Linked DNA regions of Lytechinus pictus. The protein of the gene in region 2 interacts with the protein of the main gene of each other region in a biochemical or structural test. Links are inferred from orthologs where the notes say so. Each region holds a gene or a part of one and is shown on either strand. Other genes may lie near its edges.

Region 1 (7,968 bases), on a different chromosome or scaffold from region 2:
CTACCAGCAAAGAATGTGTGCCAGTAGAGGAAAGGAATGTACCTGTCGCACGTGAACTCTTCAGAGGCAGTGAGGACAAGATCTGCAAGCAAGTGATCCTTTTTGTAAGAAAATTTCCAATTTGTACATTTTACAATTAATTTTTTTTAAAGCCTTTGTACACATTTAGAGTATCAAGGCTTACAAAATGTAAAAATTTAATGTTTGTCCAAAAATCATTATGGGAAAGGTGGATTTCCGAGGGAAATCTATCTTTGTTTACACAGTTGTATGAGCAACCTTATAGGAGGCTTGTCTAGGCTCCGTGATGAAAATACAATGTAAAAATGATAAAATTATCTTCATGGAGTCCTCTCGGCTAGCCAGTGACATGGGCCCATGCCCATCAATTTTAATTCATACTTTTGCATAACCAAATGGCGTGAATTTGGAACTGGAAGTATAATTTCAGATTGACCTCCGAAATGAAACGTGCACAATTAGTCTGAACTAAAATAACATTTCCTGAATTTTTTCTTAAATCTGGAGGCTGAAGTATTTTTTTATCTTTGAAATTAAATTGGTTCTCGTTGTTTTTTACCTCTGACTTACCAGTATGTGTGGGGGTACCGTAGAAGTAGAATTAAAGGGATGGTCCAGGCTGGAAATATATCTCAATAAATAGAGTACAATTCACAGAGCAAAATGCTGAAAACTTGATCAAAATTTGATAACTAATTAAGGTTTTGAATTTTAAAGATTTGCATTATTCCGGTGAAATAGTTCTAGGCATGTCTTTATGAATATTCATTAGGTTGGCTGATGATGTCATATCCCAATTGCCCTTTTGTATTTTATTATATGAGATTAGGTTTATTAAGATATTTTTAACCAAGAACTATTGACAATTGGATTGACAACTGATTAGGTGCATTAGTTATTGACGCAACTTATTTCATTACAATGGAGACGCATCATTTACACATGTATGAAAAAATCAAACATTTATGATTTCATCTAGTAACATAAAAAAAAGGAAAGTGGAGATGTGACATCAGCCCACCTAATGAATATTCATGACGAAGTGCATACAACTGTTTTCACAAAATATTGATAAACTTTAAAATTCAATAACTTCTTATTATCCTATTTTGATGAAATTTTCATCATTTTGCTCTGTGAATTTTTAGATGTAAATATTTTCGGCCCGGACCATCCCTTTAATCCTCGGATAAAATTTTGTATTTCATTTTTTTTTTTGCTTTGTCTTGCGTTTTTAAACATGTTCTGGGAACTGCTTTTTGAAAGTTGTCAGCATTAACGAGTTGTCTTTTTCCGACAGTTACCATAGTAACAGTCAGAGGCCAGTGCTTCTCAGCCAATCAAAAGCAATGATTTCACTGAAATAGTCGGCACTGACAATCATGAAATACCCATCAGATGTTAGCAGATAATGTGCAACATAGACTCCTAGATACATATGCAAACATACATAGTCTAAGTCTTTATTATTAAAATAAATGTATAGGTATAAGGTCGAGGCAATTTCATCTCTGCGATGTCAATTTCAGAAGTATTCCCAAGACCATGTGAACTTACTATACATGTTGTAATAAAAATGATGATGTGCTGTCTATCATTTATAATTGAATCATTGAAATATGGAACTTAGAGAAGTTTCACTATCCCATGTATTTTCTTTATGTGCAGATATAATTTTACACCACTGAAATTTTGTATTACGGTATTCACTGTACTTATTATTTTTCATTCCATTGTTTTTTTTTTCTAATCTTCAGATACATCGCATCTACCAGCAAAGATCAAGTGCCACTACAGGAAAGGAAGGTACCTGTTTCACGTTTCCTCTTCAGAGCCAGTGAGGGCCCCAAGATCTCAATAAATAATAATTAAAAAAAGACTCCTTTATCATTCCTTTAAAAATAGTACATATTATTTATTGAAGGTAAATGCTTAGATGCATTATATTCAAATTTTGTCTCCAAGCTAGCATGTAAAAATTGGATTGACTACATATTTACTGTGTAAGTTAATGATCTTTGCTGACACATAATACAAGAATTATACGCAGCATGTTACAGTTTGTAACATAATTTTCTTTCATTAAATTCCTAGTTTAAATACCATATAGATGTTTTTTGTGACTTTTGTCATTCTCTGATGTTTTTTGGTACAGATTTCAAGAGACTGAGGGATTGATTTACCAGAGCAAGTTTACAGTCCAATCCTGTTATATTGTGCATGTGGAAATTAACAAGGTTTCAATACAATGCTACAAATTTACCGTGATTCATTTCATCAGTCCTATGTGCAAGGATAATTATTTCACTTGTCCATGCACATTGTTATAACAGGAGTGGACATTCAATGTAAAGATAATTGAAGATAGTTTATAATTGAAATAACCGCCTGAGAGGGGGGGGGGGTGTTGGTACCAATATTCTAATGTGTGTGTGCTCAAGGAAAACGAAGGAGTGATTATATGAGAAGAGTAAAAGATCGGGACTGTACATATCCACATGATTCATTTTTGTTTATGCTATACATTGCAGGGTGTTTCTAACTGGTACCACTTGACAATTTATGTTTCCAACTGGTCCTAACTGGTGCTTCCAACTTGTTCTAACTGGCACCAGTTGACAACTGGTGTTTCCAACTGGTTTTAACTGGCACCAGTTGACAACTCATGTTTCCAACTGGTCCTAACTGGCACCAGTTGACACCTCATGTTTCCAACTGGTCCTAACTGGCACCAGTTGACAATTTGTGTTTCCAACTGGTTTTAACTGGCACCAGTTGACAACTCATGTTTCCAACTGGTCCTAACTGGCACCAGTTTACAATTGGTGTTTCCAACTGGTTTTAACTGGCACCAGTTGACAACTCATGTTTCCAACTGGTCCTAACTGGTACCAGTTAGGACCAGTTGTCAACTGGTACCAGTTGCTAACTGGTACCAGTTAGGACCAGTTGCCAACTGGTATTTCCAACTGGTACCAGTTACAATTTGTCAACTGGGGCCCGTTTCTCAACACCATCATAAGTCTAACTTCTTGACTAAATCGGAGATAGTGAGCTACTTGTCCGCTAACTGTTTCACGAAGCCCTCTTTACCAAGATCGGGTACAACAACCTCACTAAATATTTATGACACCTCCGAACCTGTCTTAACTTCTTTCTTAATGACGTAGTGGCATCACGTGGGTAGACTATGACATGCGAAAGTGCCTAGAAATTCTAAAATTATAAACTTACGTAATCAATCATAGAGGTTGAAATTACATCACAAAACAAGTGGGTTAATGCATTCAATGATAATTGTAATACAAAGAAACTATAAAAACTGTTGGTAAACGCCACAAAACCATTAATTTTGAAATAGTAAAATGATTTAATCGATAAAGATTCTACCACGTCAGGCCATCCATAACTGAACTCGTATTTGTTGTTTTCAGACCCCTATTAACAGTTGGATGAATTCTATCTCTAATTTATGCATATAATTTGTCCAATATCGTATCTTTCGGTATCAATGATTAAAAATGTTTCGTTAAACTATATTTTGATGACGTTTGGAATCGTAAAAGTCCGTATAATTATCATCATTTTACAAAGAAAACCGTTATGGTTTACTTTCGTAAACTATCAAAATTGGGTCTCCCGGGGGTACCCATCTCAACGTCCACAAGTGATTTTTTAGTCATGAAATGAATTATTCATAATCTAATTTTCTCTGCAATTGAATGCTCCAGTCTTCATGGTCTAAGTATGTATGATGCATAATTCACCTGTGCTATTATTTTGAAAAGATTTATTTCCCAATTCATCGTAATATTTGCAATTTTGTAATAATTTTTCTTTTTGAAAATTATGCTATTTTGTGGCTAAGGCTACGTCTCGTCTGCTCTTTTTACCGATAGTATCGATATCAAGGTATTCTAGTTAGGAAGCCTTTCGAGAAACAGGTTTAGTAAGATTGGAACTAACTCCGTGGTTGGTGGATAAAGATATGACTAACTTGTCCATGTGTTGAGAAACGGGCCCCTGGATTCCAGTTGATTCCAGTATTGGAATCAACTGGAATCCAGTTGATTCCAGTATTCCAATTTCCATATTGAATCCAGTTCGCTAACTGGAATCAACTGGTACCAGTACCAGTTGGATGAACTGGTCCTTAACTGGTTTTTTGACCTGGGCGGTAATACAATACGTGACTATACATAAGTTTTAAAGCTAGAATCTAAACATAACTAGCAGTTTGGCGCATTTCTATAGTTGCATTTTCCCTCGGTGTGTAGGATAGTATAGGACACAGTGCCAGGCGTTAGGGGAGTGACCATACGTACAGTATAAGTCTTTCACTCCCCAGACGCCTCCAGGCTAGTCCTGGAGGTGTCTTTCAAAATTTTCTTTCCTTTCCAACTGAAAAGTGAAGGACCATTCTTCGTAATCGTATCGCCCAAATCGGCTTTGTGAAACAGTTGAGCGATATCTCCTTCTTACGCAGTCGTAGAATGGTTCTAGTTCTACGAAAGACCCTTTCATTCATGCAACAGGCCGCCTAGCCCTGCTAGGCCTAGGGCTAGGCCCCTGCCTGGCCTGGCTAGGACTCAGGAGCTAGGCCGCATGCCGTATGGTATACTTTTACACTACAGTACAATAGGTACGGGAGCTACCCCAGAGTTTCGGCCGAAATCATAGACGATGCCCGCTGAAGTCACATCCACGGTTGAAGAGGAAAGACTGCTTCTCTGGTATCTGCACGAGTTTACAGATAAATAACGAAATAGAAAGACACACAATTTAAAATTATTGATTAATTAATATATCAAGTATAATATAAGCTTAATAACATACCATATTTATTCCTAAGATGCGAAATATTATACAATAAACTTGAGTTTGCCGCGGGCTTAGTGTCTCCGAAAACGATTGCTTCACGAAATGCGCGCATGCGCATCCTCTAACAAAAAAATATTCTGAAAAAGTGGTGCCATCGATTTTTTGCCTCCACAAAATGGTAGGATTTCACGCCTTTTCAGAAGTGATTAAAGAATATTCTTGACTGTAAGTATGCTTCAATATTTGATTCGAGAAAATATGTGATAGAAATAATATTATGTTCGATTTCTTAGTTCAATAATAAACTTTTTTTGTAGCCCATTTTCAGGAAGCAATCAATATTTATAATGGCCCCACGTACTGACAAAAATGTTGGTGAAGTACATGTCCCCATCAAATTCAGCCATTGCATTGCCTCGATAGATCTAATTTGGAAATCTAATTTTCTTTGATTCCTTACAATGGGATTGCTGAGATGCTTTAAAAATGAAGATATCAATACAATAGTTTTGTTCCATGTTTGCGAACTTTCTTGCAAAAGGGATTGTCTTCAATTTTTTTTAAAATGACAAAACCAACTCACTGCGACTGCATTGCCATATGATTTGCACAGAAATCGAGTCGTCGACATGTTAGCGGTTCCCTTCATCTGTCAGGGGTCCAAGCGTAATGCGAAAGCAGCAACTTCTGGGTTGCATGTACAGCTGATCTGCATGCACAATCATGACATAAAAGCATTTTGAGGGCGAGTGATTGAACGAATTTGAAACTGTATGAAATCCATGTCTGCACACCTAACTATTTAAGTTAAGATTTAACATGAATGTCTTTTTATTTCACAAAACTTTTCAATTGATAAAGTTCTTTAAATTCTTATTAGTAAGTATGCCAAAAATCTCATAAAAATTTGAAAGAAATCTATAGGAGCCTAGTATGATTTTCTTGGAAAAAGCCTCGGCCAGTCATTTTCAGATTGAAAAAAAAAACGGTGCCCCTGTCTGCTCACACTTCACATTATGCACGACTCGGGGATTTGTGTGAGAAAGGCTGCATTTTGAGGCCGTAACATAAAATGTCGAAATCATTATTTTTCCACCATTTTTATTTGGATTTTTTAATTACATGTACATGTGTAAACTTCTAGTCGTTGCATATCTGACTGAGAGTTACTTGATTTTCTTCTCAGATATTTTAAACAGTGATGCATTCATGTAGATCTTGACTGTAGATCTTTATTTTCACTTCTGCTCACTCACTTTGCCAGGAGGCTTCTAGAGAGTAAAAATCATTTACTTACAAAGCCAGGGATTCCATCCCATTCATCTGCATGTACCGCCAAAAAACCTGAAACTTTCGCCCCCGAGATTTTTACTTTCATTCTAAAAGATCTAGCCCTAAATCATGTAAATGGGATACAACTTCTTATCTGACATTTCTATTCTATCAATTTCATTTTTAAACAAGCATTCATAAAAAATGAGAAAAATTTTATGGAAAGACGGGGGAGACTTGCCCGATGTTTACACCGCCATCTTGTTTCATATTGTTCTTCCCCAATGTATGGACGCATACATGTATTCTCACTGGGTACAATTACCTGGGAAATATTTGCGAAGCTAAGTTAGCTGTCTAGATTTGATGATATTTTTTGTGGCTTTACAGGTGCAATTGAATTATGGCTATGAGCGCAAATTTGTGCCCCACGCCTGCTTACCACGCTTACATTTTAAGACCAGGGGCCCGTTTCTCAGTCTAACTTCTTGACTAAATCGGAGATAGTGAGCTACTTGTCCTCTAACCGTTTCACGGAGCCCTCTTTGCCAAGATTGGATACAACAAACTCAGTAAATATTTATGACACCTCCGAATCTGTCATAACTTCTTTCTTAATGACGTAGTGGCATCACGTGGGTAGACTATGACATGCAAAAATGCCTAGAAATTTGACAATTATAATCTTAAGTAATCAATCATAAAGGTTGAAATTACATCACAAAACAAGTGGGATAATGCATTCAATGATAATTGTAACACAAAGAAACTATAAAAACTATTGGTAAAACGTCACAAAACCATTCATTTTGAAATAATAAAAATAATTTAATGGATAAAGATTCTACCACGTCAGGCCATCCATAACTGGACTCGTATTTGTCGTTTTCAGACCCCTATTAACATCTGGATAAATTCTATCTCTAATTTATGCATAGAATTTTTCAAATCATATGTTTCAGTATCACAGATTTAAAAAGCTTATGTTAAACTATATCTTGATGATGTTTGGAATCATACAAGACTGTATATATTTATCATAATTTTAGTTTTTTACAAAGAAAACCATACATGTATGGATGGTTTACTTAAACTATTAAAATTGGATATCCCGGGGGTACCCATCTCAGCGTCCACGTGTGATTTTTAGTCATGAAATTAATTATACATAATTTAATTTTCTCAGCAATTGAATGCTCCAGTCTTTATGGTCTATGATGCATAATTTACCTGTGCTATTATTTTGAAAAAGTGTATTTCCCAATTCATCACAATATGTGCAATTTTTCTCATAACTTTTCATTTTGAAAATTATGCTTTTTTGTGACTAAGGCTACGTCTCGTCTGTTCTATTTACCGATGGTATATCAAGGTATTCTACATGTAGTTAGGAAGCCTTTTGTGAAGCAGGTTTAGTAAGATTGGAACTAACTCCGTGGATGGTGGGTAAAGATATGAATAACTTGTCCAGGTGTTGAGAAACAGGCCCCTGATTCTCATTGAGTGACTGTTGCCAGTGACAAAAATCATTAAATGGAAATACTTTTTTACATAAGAGCTTTGGTGTGATCAGTTAAATTACAATAAAAAAAAATAGGAACATACAAGGCATCTTAATTGGAGATTAACTTGGCAGAATTTGTAAATATGCCCAGCCACCATTAAATCTACCAGATCAAGTGAATTAGACATTAGATGAGTTGTTTTTTTATTAACTATTGTGGAATGTAAATTCAGCAAAATAAATGCTCTTGTTGTTGTTTATTGAAATGCTGTTTATTGCTATCATTTTGTAATTAAAAAGTACTATTAGTATTAGCCATCAAGAGCAGGATTTGATCATGTTTATTTAGT
Region 2 (6,960 bases):
AACCCAACGATTTTTTTTTAATGTAAACATCAATGTGTGCAGCCATTAACCCTCTGAAACAAACAAGTTCGGGTCTACTTCAAACTACTTTCATAATTTAAGCTGGATAACAAAAAATAATTGAACATTCTGTAATAAAAGTAATTTTCTTTATTTCCACATCATGATGGATCATGATGAATAGATATTGATGTCACTGGCGGATCCAAACAACAAAATTTTTAGGTCTTACTATTGATAACAAGCTTACGTTGAATGCTCATATCAACAATATTTGCAAAACTGTGGCAAGAAATATTGGAGTCATCAATAAGCTTAAAAACGTTCTTCCAGCACAGGCGCTATTCATGTTATATTGTGCAATAATTTTTACCATATCTTAATTATGGGATTCTGGCATGGGGTAATGCCTCTCAAACGAGACTCAATAAAGTCTTGCTACTTCAGAAAAAGTACTGAGAATAATATGCAATATGTCCTTTAGAGCTCATACGGATGAATTGTTTCGTCAGAAACGTATCCTTACAGTCAGTGACCTGTACCGCTTACAACTATTCCAATTCATGTATCAGCTAAATAGAAATAGTGTACCTAATGGCCTACAAAAGAAATTTATGAGAAACAATACTTTGCATTCATAATACGAGACAGTCAAATGACTATCACTTATACCTAAAAGTAGAACAGTATTTTCTAGCAAAACTATTTTTCACAGGACCAAAACTCTGGAATTCTCTGGACAGAGTAATAAAAGAGGCAGCTAATCTGAACCGATTTAAATTACTCATAAAAAAATTTCTTCTGAATTCTTATTGATTTAATCAAATATTTTGTGAACTTCATGCTTATCCATGCACGGTAGTGTTGATTATTTTAAAGTCAATATTTAATTTTGTATATAGTGTATAAACATTTGTGTTACAGTGTTTCTATCTATGTAAATTTATAGAATTTTGCTGATTATTTTTACTATATACTTATATCATATTACCCTTGTATACAATTTTGATAGGGGGTCTACATTTTACAAGCTTTGCTTTTTTAGTATGCCCCTCCACTTTTTTTCATTTCATTGGTATACGTTTCAATCCTGTATGTGTTATGCAGTTGATGCATCTTTTCATTGTAAAAATGATTTATTACGAAAGATACTTTGATGACTTGTGGAATATGAATATATCAATAAATAAAATGAATAAATAAATCCAGGGGGCACAGCCGGCCCGTGCCCCCCTTGAGAGGTACAATTAAAATCTTAGCAAATGTGCGGTTCTAACTCAAATGTGTCCCCCTTTTAAAGCGAGGACTTTTTTTGCTTGCTTATTATTTTTGTGGACGAATTACCTTAAGTTGTAGGTGGAAAACTGTTTTTGCGTGTCATTTTTCAGGAAAAATAATGTGCCCCCCTTGGAAAATCCTGGATCTGCCCCTGATTAATGTGATACGTATAATTAAATGTAAATGTTACAATTATTGTTCAGTCTTTAGAGCAATACCTCATTGCAGCTATAGTCCAAGTGGATGTCAGGTTCCCAAACTAGTGTATTATGGTCACTGTTACCTCATGAATTTTGAAATGTGTAGCCAATTAGGGATTTAAATTTATGGGTGTTTCTTATATATAGGTACCATTCTCTGGGGGCTGTTTGAAGAGGTAGTTTGCCCTAATGAACAATAAAAATAGCAGAAAATTGGTGAAGGCTTGAGGAAAAATCCATCAAAGATCAAGAAAGTTATTAGAAGTTTAAGTTTTAGTCTGTGACGTCATATATGGGAAACTGTCCCATGACATTTTACGCACTACAAAATGGTTCGTAATTGTTTTTAAAAAATATTTCAGGAGCGTAAGTGAAATGATTTGTCTCTTGATATATAGGCCTACTGAAGAAACAATAAAAACCATTTTGATTTTTTTTCTAGAAAATTACATTTCATTGATTTTTTTATACACCAAATATGGGAAAACTGCTCGCAAATGACGTTATCATAAAAGTATAAAAGTATAGCTTTTTAATCTTTGATGGATTTCCTAAAACCCTCACCAATATCATTTTACTATTTTCTGCTATTCTACAATGAATTTTATGTGAGGTTGGACTTCCCCTTTAATGAATTAAATACAATTGCGATCTAGAGTGTGCCTCAAATTTGAATATTAGTACAGCGATTTGACATGAGAAGGCCGTCCATGAGAGTCCAGAAAAAATAAGATATTCCAACCAAAAGATTATCAATTTGGTGCAGACGATCTATCTAGATGATTTTAAAGATGTGACCCTTTCTATTATTTTTCATTATTTATTCATTTTTTGCATGGGGGTTTAAGACGATTTTACCTAGGCCTATTCCAATATGACCTCTGCCATTTTTACCTCTGCCATTTTACCTCTGCCATTATTACCTCTGCCATTTTTATCTCTGCCACCACCTCTGCCATTTTTACCTCTGCCATTTTTACCTCAGTGTCATTTTTACACCGAGCCCGTTATAATGGGTCCTTCTCATGCAGGTGAAAGGGGCACAGAACACGTTCGTGTGGGGCACTTTCTTGCTTGGGTAAAAAGGGGGACTAATACGAAATAGGACACAAAGAAGAAGGAAGGGGCACTTGTTCACACATAAAACGGGTCCTTCAAGGGGCACACAACACATTCGTGAGGGGCACCTTTCTTGGGTAAAATGGGGGGGGGGCTGCTAGCCAACAATATCAGGGAGCACTTGCTCACACCGTTAAAACGGGTCCTTCTCAGGTAAAAAGGGCACAGAATACGTTCGTGTGGGTGCATTTTGGTAAAAATTGGCAAAGATTCGAGAAATTGCAAATTTCTGACACAATCACAAATCGGGTCCTTCTCAGGTAAAAGGGGCACATAAATCGTTTGAGAGGGGGCATTTTGCGAAATAAAATTGGCACTTATACGAGAAAGGGCAAACACCTAAAACGGGTCCTCCTCAGGTGAAAGGGGAACATGCAAACGTTCGTGAGGGGGCATTCTTCTTGCGTAAAAAAGGGCACTTTTTCAGGGCTTCAAAAAGTACGTGTGGGGGCACTGTGCCCCCCCCCGGATAGCCGCCCCTGCTTGTCAGCTAAAATGTGTAGAGTTTGTTTTCCTAATTCTTTCTTTTCCTTAATTATTGTTAGAGAATGTTGGTGTGCAAATTTAATATTATATTTGTATATGGAAAAAGTGAATAGCCGCTGCATCAGAGTGACACTTGCAAATTAGATTTATTGAAAATCAATATCCATGCAGAGTTTAACATGATTGCTTGGAAAAAAAAAGTTTCTTGGCGTGACTATGTAGACACATAATTTGTGTTAGCCATTTTTTATTCAATATTTTTTTTTCAAATCTGAATATAACTCAGTTTCGTCTTTGAGTGTTTGAAAGGATTATCACTTTAAAAATGTTTTTACTCATAATCCACGATTTACGTAAAAAAATTATATATATAATCACATTCACGGTTTATCATATATATAAAGCACAAAAATCTAAATAATCAACAAAAAATACAACCAATCACTATTTTTGTATCATTATTAGAATGTAAGGCACAGCTGAATCTTAGAGTTCTCTATAGAGTTATAAATATCTATAAGCATAACAATTTACAGTTTTCAGTGCTTTTTAATTATAACAATGACATATATTGAAGGTAGGCTACAGAGAATTACCTACCATTTGAAGTATTATATTTCACCTAAATACGTTTAAGATGAATTCGCCTTTGAATTTTTGTCGTCATATCGTTAACTGATATATATATATATTTCAGATTATTTGTTGGTATTCATTGGAACTGCCATTTGCCTGAATAATTTATCTCTGTTTTTCCCCCCTTTCCATTTCTTCTTTCTTTTGTTTTGTCATAATTCAGCAAAACATATTTTGCAGAGTAGGCCCAATGGATGGTCATGACCTATGACGTCACAACCGTGGAATACTAGAGGCGAATTGCACTTCACTGTAAAATAATATCCATTCGCTTATCGTTAGTTCTCTGAATCAAATCTGAATCTGGAGATAGAATATAACACAATCAAAAGAAAGCAATCACAGTTGGTTGAAAATATGAAAAGTTACTTGCTATTATCTTTCGAAAAGAAATGTGGGGCAAAGAATTTTGGTGGAAGAAAGTAGTTCTCCAACTGTGTACAAATCGGGTCAAGTGTTGAGGCTTCGTTCATGTGTTGAATGCTATAAATATTGTCAGAAAAGTGCGTATTTTTGCACTTTTGGCGTACTGTGAGTACCTTTTTGGAGGATATCCTGAGCCTTCGACTACACTTTATCAGTGACCCATCATGAAATTTCAAATAGATGTCCGGAGATTCGATGAAACTAGTTCAGAATAAACTACCCAGCTGAGTCACTGTTCCAAAATAGAATTCGCGAATCCACATAAAACGAAGGTGCAGCAATAGCGGAGTCCATGAAGAACAAGTCTTCGAGCTCGCCTACATCCGTAAACACAGTGAACGCAATGCAGTGAATCACCCGTGTTATGGTTGCACCAGATTCGACAAACTCTCAAAATATAACAATTATTTCATATACTCGGATGCCTCAATTGAAGTGGCATGATCCAATATGACTCCACTGAATAATTTTTCATAGGCTCTGGAAATTCTACAGAAAAGAGCCCTCAAACTGTTGCAAGTAGACTGACTTGACACTTGACTTGTCTTGTGTTTTTTTTCCTGTCATTTTTGAATTATCCAGAACAACGTCGCCAACATGAGTAACTCGATGAAAGCACCACCGCCGAAGAAAGACTCTCGAATGAGGATTCGTGCCTTTCCAGTATGTTCTGCAATTCAGATATCTAAGTTACACAGATTGTTTATCGTAGAATGTTTATTATTTTTATTAAGTCAAGAACTAAGGTGTTATTGGGATTGCAAAAACATAATTTGTGTTTGAGGGGGGGGGGGGGGCCGGGACTCAACAACAGACAACAATTACTTTAGCCTTTTAGGACTTAACATGGAATTTTTATGGAAAAAAAATGGCCTAGGATCTCTCGAGTCAGTCTAGACAACAATTGACCAACTAGACAAAGGCTAAACAGACAAAGCGTTCATGCCCAGCTGATATTTTGCGTCAATTTCTATATTATTGTTTGTCCATTTTCTAGAGTCTTAGAGTCTTACTTAGTGGAGGCAGTGTAGCTCAGTCGGTTAGAGCGCCTGTTCCGGATACTTTATATTTTTGAAGCCTTCTTTTTTGTCTTAAGATTACACTAAAAATATGAATTCAATAGTTGTAATCATCTTATATTTTGTTCTCTATAATATTTCCTCACATTTTGTACTAAAAATTGATGACACTTCGCTTGTAATTTTTTCCAAATGACTTTCTAAAATTGATCGTCCGGACACACAACCTGTCCGGACACACAACAACTGGGTATATACCTCGTCAGGTACATGTACCCAGTTGTGTGCCCGGGCGCACTCATTCTATGAACAAGGTTACGATATGGCCCGGGCGGGTCGTTTATCTGGACAAGTCGGCAATATCAAGACAGGAGTAATATTAGACGAAACAATTATTTCTGCTACTCTTTTTTTTTTGCTAGAAAACCTAGATATAAAAAAAAGAAAAGATAATAGTTTTTGCGAGACGTGAAGATTTAACTTGCGTTTGGACATTAAATTGTTTGAAAGTAATATGAGACAATTGATGCATAAACTTTCAGTCATTTCTGCTACTCCTTTTTTTTTTAAAGGAAACCCAGATATGAAAAAATAGACAGTTTTTTTGATAGATTTAACTGGTGTTTGGACATCGTTCCCCCCCCCCTCACTTCTCCTACATGTACATGTGTTCATGTTATTTGATACATGTAGATAATACATGTATATGTACATGTAAGTACAGTTTCACCAAATGTTCAAAAAAAAAAAAAAGAAATATGTGTTTTTACCAAGTTAACACCCCAACCTGTCCCAGGACCTACAGTATTGCATAACAGTTTGTATGACATTGTTGCCATTCAATGAAATCTTTGCATTTCATTGGTTCAGAGCAAATTTGTCATTAAAAAGACAGGCATGATATTTTTTCAGATTTTCTAATTTTTGATTTTTAGTTTTTTTACGTGAAATCCTTTGCCCAAGAACATTCTCATGCAGTTTTTTACTGCTTTTTCAAGTTAAATGATAAAGCTATCATGCAGACTTACCTTGAAAAATCACTATCAATTTCACTATGCAAGAGCTTGTAACCCCGACAGGGGCTTCTCGGACTCCGGCGGGGACTTAGCCACCCTTGGCTATTTTTCAGATTCTTTTTCAAGGGAAATATCATGCCTGAAATGAGTAATGCGATGATGCTTCATGATTTACTCCTAGGATGGCAAAGCTAAGTACAACAAAGCTTTAGAGAGTTCTGTTTTCATCTAATGAGAACTACAGTTTTCAACGAATTACATTTTCTTGGTGATTACAAGTACACACACATACATAGACATGTACATACATGTAGTTAAAAACAGGATCCAGGTTATGGATATTGAGTTGTTCTAGCCCAACCCCCCCCCCTTTATTTTACTTCCAAATGTAGTACGGGTAAAATTAAGAATACTAATAATTTCCACTAACTTCACTACATGTAATGCACTTTGTAGTGTTTTCTACCGTAGTTTTACTTGTGTGTTACATGCACATCTTTAGTTTGAACTAATTTTTTTAAATATTTATGTTGACCAACTAAGGTTTACATATTTGGAAAATATCCTTGGTACATGTATAAATTGTACATGTAGGCCTACATGTACATGTTGGATTTGGGTAATTGAAATGGAATGTTGATGTCATTGCATGTGAGCCTACATACAGTACATACAGTACATGTACAAGTACCCTGTTGGCTGATACGGATACGTTAAATGGGTGTATAGTAGACGTAGTGTAAAGTACAAATGAATAATGCATTTACTTCTTCCCTTTGT

Evidence for each region. The genes of interacting proteins can lie anywhere in the genome.
Region 1: the proteins of cullin-3-like (region 2) and kelch-like protein 20 form a complex in vitro, tested with the Homo sapiens proteins (2 studies listed by BioGRID and IntAct). The link is inferred for Lytechinus pictus from reciprocal best matches to the Homo sapiens genes CUL3 and KLHL20.

The regions. Positions count from the first base shown.
Region 1 is NC_087259.1:10,976,095-10,984,062, reverse strand, and holds the start of kelch-like protein 20, read left to right. Parts: upstream 1-4,961; 5' UTR 4,962-5,067; intron 5,068-7,968. UniProt on the Homo sapiens protein: Substrate-specific adapter of a BCR (BTB-CUL3-RBX1) E3 ubiquitin-protein ligase complex involved in interferon response and anterograde Golgi to endosome transport.
Region 2 is NC_087260.1:19,592,301-19,599,260, reverse strand, and holds the start of cullin-3-like, read left to right. Parts: upstream 1-3,950; 5' UTR 3,951-4,742; coding exon 4,743-4,808; intron 4,809-6,960. UniProt on the Homo sapiens protein: Core component of multiple cullin-RING-based BCR (BTB-CUL3-RBX1) E3 ubiquitin-protein ligase complexes which mediate the ubiquitination and subsequent proteasomal degradation of target proteins.